Linked DNA regions of Kluyveromyces lactis. The protein of the gene in region 1 interacts with the protein of each later gene in a pairwise test. Links are inferred from orthologs where the notes say so. Each region holds a gene or a part of one and is shown on either strand. Other genes may lie near its edges. The genes, in order: KLLA0_F19965g and KLLA0_D08811g.

What was found.
Region 2: the proteins of KLLA0_F19965g (region 1) and KLLA0_D08811g interact in a two-hybrid assay, tested with the Saccharomyces cerevisiae proteins (2 studies listed by BioGRID). The link is inferred for Kluyveromyces lactis from reciprocal best matches to the Saccharomyces cerevisiae genes MRX16 and YJL218W.

What each region holds. Positions count from the first base shown.
Region 1 is NC_006042.1:1,858,735-1,862,088, reverse strand, and holds KLLA0_F19965g (uncharacterized protein), read left to right. Parts: upstream 1-1,336; coding exon 1,337-2,695; downstream 2,696-3,354.
Region 2 is NC_006040.1:743,434-746,325, forward strand, and holds KLLA0_D08811g (acetyltransferase), read right to left. Parts: upstream 1,183-2,892; coding exon 613-1,182; downstream 1-612. Other genes in the region: KLLA0_D08789g (uncharacterized protein), read right to left, coding at 257-586; KLLA0_D08833g (uncharacterized protein), read right to left, coding at 1,746-1,871; ERG9 (bifunctional farnesyl-diphosphate farnesyltransferase/squalene synthase), read left to right, coding at 2,542-2,892.

The DNA.
Region 1 (3,354 bases):
CTCTAGGAACCAAACTGACTTGCCTTGGCCATAGCAATGTTACGCTTCCTGTTTTTTTATTTTGTTCTTTTTTTCCATCACCGTCTTTGCTAAAGCATATGGGCCATGACAACAGAGCCTGATTATTTAATGAGATATACTTGGTGCAGAAAGAGGCAGAATACGGCGAAATTCACTCAGCATCTTCTTTTTTTTTTGCTTCAAGTAGATGCTGACACATGGAAATGAAGAAGAGGCGAGAACGACGTATAAGCGGATTCTGTTTCGTTCCTCGAACTCATGAAAAATAAAATATTTTTAATGTTTTCGTCGTATTTCTCATAGATATCATTGGCTGATTCTAACTAGGTCATGCCATCAACTGCAAAGCTCCTAGGATGAGCCTCCTGCTGTTAAGTTTATCCGAATACCGGGATAGATGCGGTAGTGAGCCTCAGCGAGCCTCAGCGAGCTATAGAATATGAATATGCAATAGTGTTCTTTCCGTTACCCGATGAGTAGTTAACGGAAGGGAAAAAAAGAAACATCTGATCCGAAATTTACGGCTATTACAGACGGATGGACCCTTTATTTTAAAAACCGTTCTCTTCTTCAAATGATAGAAGCAAATACAGTAATACTTCAATGCTTGCTCTATTGCTGCGATTGTTAACATTCTTTGAGGACAACTCGAAATCCGTGGTAATACGTCTGGAGTGTAATTCAAACTTAGATATCTTTTCATGTTACTATTGGTTGTGTGTGACGGAGATATTCGTAGATCTGACAAATGTCAAATTTATAGCATAAACTTGGGAATTAACGAGAGTAGTAGAAACTAAGGATACAACATAGTATCAATTCTAGTGAATCCCAGATAACTATCCGTTCATGACGGCGATTACAAGATATTAACACCAAGAGGCTCATGGCAACATATAGATGCGTATATATCACATTATTATTCAGATTTTCCGTTTGTCATATAGAAAAAAAAATGTATGCATGAAATTTTGGGATTTGAAATTTAAACTTGTATTACAAATGGAAACACATTTTGAGTATTTCAAAGACAGAAGGGTTTTAGATATATACGGTACTTGTAGGTTTTATAGTTTGATTCTTCGTGTGTTCTGTTTTTTTTTCAGATGTCTACTGTATTTAATATTTTGGGATGCTTGTAGAACTCTAAGTCTACTAAGTTTACGGTTCAACTTGTATTTTGTTGATTCTTTATTGAAACTGTGCATTTCATACAGTTGCTTTGGTGGCAGTGAAAAAATTAAATTTGGATCAAGATTACTAGATTCCAGAGCCTGAGTGTTAGATATTAAAGACTCGAATTACTTTGTAGAAGATGGATATTGTCGATACTAGTGAAGCTTTGATCAATATACCAGAACTTTTGGCCCATGAAAATATTTATCAGATCCAGGTGGGATCGAAATTGTTTAAAGTTAGTGGTGCATCGCTAAGCAGCGATGGTCCCTCTTTTTTCACTGACTATTTCAATTCTCAAGAGAATGCAGATGCATCTCACGTTTTGACCATCGATAGATCGGATGTTGTTTTCGAGACTATTATGGCCCATTTACAAGGATATCCTCTATCAATATTGGATGAGAAAGAATTCATTACCTTATTTTTGGATTCGTTGTACTATAGATTACCTAGGTTAAAGAGAATGTTGCAAAAATACGACTATTATTTCATTAACATCGGCGGTAAGCATTTCAAATTCTCAAAAAGTGTCTTCGATAGACCCGGAGACTCCCCTAATTATTTTAATCTTTTGATCGACTCGATGTTGGTCGATGTGGAGAACTTGTTCCACGATAAAAAAATGATCAGACCCCCATCTCATTTCATCCCATTCGTTACTAGATCCAGTGAATTGTTTCAAGAAATCCTAAATCTCTTAACGGATGACGACTACGTTGTACCTGGTCATATCTCTATCAATAATCTTTTAAGAGAGTGTAAGTTTTACTGCTTGCTTAATTTACAACAGAGACTCCTTCCTCATAAGATCACTAGTAATCCATTTTGCAAAAGAGAGGAGATCACTATGAAATTACAGCATCTCAGAAGAACGGGGATGAAACTATTGATGCAAAGTGAAGACATAAATGAATGTATCATTCGCAGTGATTCCGAATCTGAGGAATCCGCTTTTTGTCCCAAAAAAAAAAGAAAAATGGAATCTCCGGCAGAATGGGATATGATCTCTTACCAACGCCCTTATGTGGATAAAAATCCGAGGGATTTGGTGGTACAAATCGATTCCGGTGACTTGACTCTTTATTTCAATAAGAGAATGAAAACTATTCACGTCAATGTTGCTAACCCATTGGACTGCCGTATTTTGAAGAGTTTGTTCACAGACATCAGGAAACAACGCAATATCAATGAATCTCAATTCGAATATCCTAATTTCAAGGGATACGTTTTCCTCACTTGCACGATAATAGCTGATTTGACTATCAATGGATTGCCATGTAAAAACGTCTGCTCGAAAATCGATGAGATCAAAACCAATGAACAAATCTACGATTTCAGTAACGGCGATGGCATGATGCCAGGTTTATCCTTATACGTTGTAGGGCCCTCACTTTGGCGCTTGGGGGTAAAGAATGAGCATATCATCTTCCTTCCACTAAAATTGAATTGTATCTCAAATTTAAGACAGTTCAATAAGAATTTGCAATTTGTCTGAAAGAAAGTCTTTTTGCGCAGAGTCAGACGTTTTTAATTTTTGACCTATTTCCACTGAATTTTTTTACTGCTTTCCTGAACTGTTACTTATGTAACATCTTCTCACCGTCTCCCATCATTTGCATATTTCATCTCTCATTATCCTCTTAACCTCTTCCTCTTTGTCAGCTCATCTTAGCCAAATTTTTTCAGTGCATCATTCTATTATCTAAAGTTTCATTCTTCAAGCTTTTCGATGTAGGAGTCGCATATTTTCTTTACGGAGTTTGACACATTGGCCAGCTAGTACCAGTCGAATCTGCTCATCTTCTCGTTCACTGCTGTCACAAATCTCATTTTAAAAACGTTTACTTTTTAAGTTGTATTATTTTTGCTTTTACGCGACTCTCGTGATTCGAACGGAGGAGGTTTTTTATTATAGACATTGTTTTTTTTTTTTTAGTATATATGTATTATTGTTCACAGGCTTTTTTTGTGTACTTGTCGCAGCTGGCGACACATATTCGTTAACCAATCATTCAATTATCGAAAAGCTTGGTACTCCATTTTGAATTTGGCTCATTTCAAGTTGTAAAAAAAAATCTTAAATCTCTTTGTAAAACGGTTCATCCTTATGCAGGGGAACTGCTGATCATCTCTGTATTGTTTCAAATTGACCAA
Region 2 (2,892 bases), on another chromosome or scaffold:
GCGGTTAATGATAGTTTTGTGTCACTGACACATAACAAAGTATATAAACCAGTACTTAGATCTAATCTACTAATTAGTAGGGATCAGATCTAAAGACACTAGGTGCATCTAATTATACTAGGAGATATATAGCTAATCAAGATGGATTCTTCTAATAAAGATCTGACAAGATCAAAGCCACGTGACATGTATAGTCACATACCGCAACACTACAGCTGTGTAGAGAGTTTCTAAGGAAGCTCCTTCATATGAGAAGTTATTTCCTAATCAATTGCATGAAGGGAGAATTTTCAGGTTTTAAGTAATGGCGTGGTTTCTGTCGTTCGTTCTTCAAACACACAACCAATGTAGGCGTTTTTGTACTGCTATCGTTAAGACGTACCTTTAGGTTAATTAAAAACTGATCCATATCAGACTTCAAAATGATGTCAGCGTTTAAGCAGGTACTTGCTTTAGCATACACTGAAACCAAGAACAAAATCGAAAGTGTTTGACTATTACTAGTAAAAACCACATATATACTACAGGCTGTACCAGTACCATGAGGTAAACACACAGCCATGAAACATACTGGCTTGACTCTCATTTTTTAATGTGAAGTTTGCATACTATTTATTTCTTGTTCAATTCGATGTGTTTGATAAATTTTGCAGGGTTACCTGCCACAACGACATTAGCATCAACGTCTTTAGTGATCACACTTCCAGATCCAATAACAGCATTGTCACCAATTGTAACACCAGGCAAGATTGTCACGTTTCCACCAATCCAGACTCTATTTCCAATTTTAACTGGGATACCAAACTCCACGCCTTTCGAGCGTTCAATAGGATCCAGAGCATGTGACGCTGTGTATATATGTACACCAGGTCCCAGCAGAACATCATCACCAATTTCAATTTTACAAACGTCTAACATAATGCAATCGAAATTGGCGTAGAAGTTCTTTCCGACAGTGATGTTAGATCCATAATCACAACGAAAGTTTGGTTCAATAAAGGCGTTGTAGTGCTTTCCCAATAACTGATCTAGAATCCGTTTTCTAAGCTCTTCATCTTCTGGTTTGGACTGGTTGAAATCGTAAACCAATTGACGTGCTTTGAGTCTTTCTTCTACGAGTTCAGGATCCATACATAAGTATGGCTCACCTATAAGCATCTTCTCTTTTTCGCTCCTTGTCATTGTTAAAATGGCCTGTGAATATCCTGATCCAATCCTCTTTATTATTCAGGAGACAGTATAATTAGATTAACTTATCTTGTAAGGATGTTCAAAAGCTGAATAGATTCAAGTGGTTGTAAATTCCCCAGTTTTTATATGCGTTTGAAGGTATACTTCGGATATGTCTAAACGTCAATTTCTCTGCAGTGAAACCTATGTGGAATGAAAATTACACCTATAAAGTGTTGATATTTCGGAACTTTAAGTAGCTGCGGAAAAACCCTTGCATAAAGGGAGACATACCGGAATATCGGAATACCAAATGCAAGTGTCGTTGCATGATACTGTAATCGATTGGAGATAAATCGCTGACGATTCGAGTAAAATTTCATGACAATTGGTGATACATTGTTCAGACCGTGTAGTAGAACAATGGAGGATATCGTTCATGTATGCCACGGTTTAAGAATTGGAATGGACTAATGAAATACATCCACAAAGGGGAAACTTCCAAAGTATTTTTTGGTGGAAGTACATTGGCAATTGATCTTTCACTCCGTTTTGTACTTTTTATTGTCATAGTATTATAGCACTTGGCAGTTGAAGGTTCCTTCTAAGAAGCACTCCAGAAGGGTTGAAAGGTGACAAGGCATTTTGAGTTCATGACTAGCACTTGAAAATGTGCTTCTATAAACAACATCAGAAGACATGATAGCTGGTTGTATAGTGTAGTGGTTATCACTTTCGGTTTTGATCCGAACAACCCCGGTTCGAATCCGGGTACGACCTACTTTTTTGTTCGTATATGTGAATTGTGTATGTATGTTAGAGCGTGTAGCCAGCAAACGCACGGTTGAAGAAGCAGAACCCTTCTCGACTTTCAAATGACACACTGTGCTAATTCTTTAATTACGTTAACCACATTCTCTTTTAACTACAATCTATCTGCTTTCTTACGAATACGAATGTCAATTTAATATTCCAAACCTAGACTGACATTTCCTGTTCGAAAAGACTGATTCAGCAAAAAACCACTAGTTTAATGTTGTAGGCAATTTATTGCCTAGGCCAAACATAACAATTCAGTTCTACAACCAGGATATGCACTTGTTTTACACTGAATCGACAAGCGTGCACTGATTTTTTTTTAAAGACTTATCTCTGACCTTAGCTGCCCTCATCGTATTTCTGGCTGCGTCACCTCTTGCTCGTTTGAACGATAACTTCGAATCACCAAGAAAAAAAAAAAAATAAACAGCTTAAAATAATTTGCGTATATATGAACACATAGGATAGTCATTTTATTCTACGATTGAAAATATGAACCGTACTTTTCGATACCTTAACTGCATCAATTACAGATAACATCATACTGTCAAGATGGGGAAAGTTGCTGAATTACTTTCGCATCCACTTGAATTGAAAGCAGCCTTAAAATTGAAGTTTTTGAGAAAGCCATTATTTCCAGATGTCGTGATTGAAGAATCTGCCGATCTTACGAGATGCCACGAGCTTTTGAAGTTGACTTCCAGGTCTTTTGCTGCAGTGATTATGGAACTTCATCCTGAATTGCGTAATGCCGTCATGCTTTTTTATTTGGTTTTGAGGGCTTTGGATACTGTGGAAGATGATATGACTATCGATCCAAAGATCAAAATCCCAGTATTGCGTGAATTTGACTCTAAGTTAGATCTACCATCATGGTACTTTGACGGTAATGGCCCTAATGAA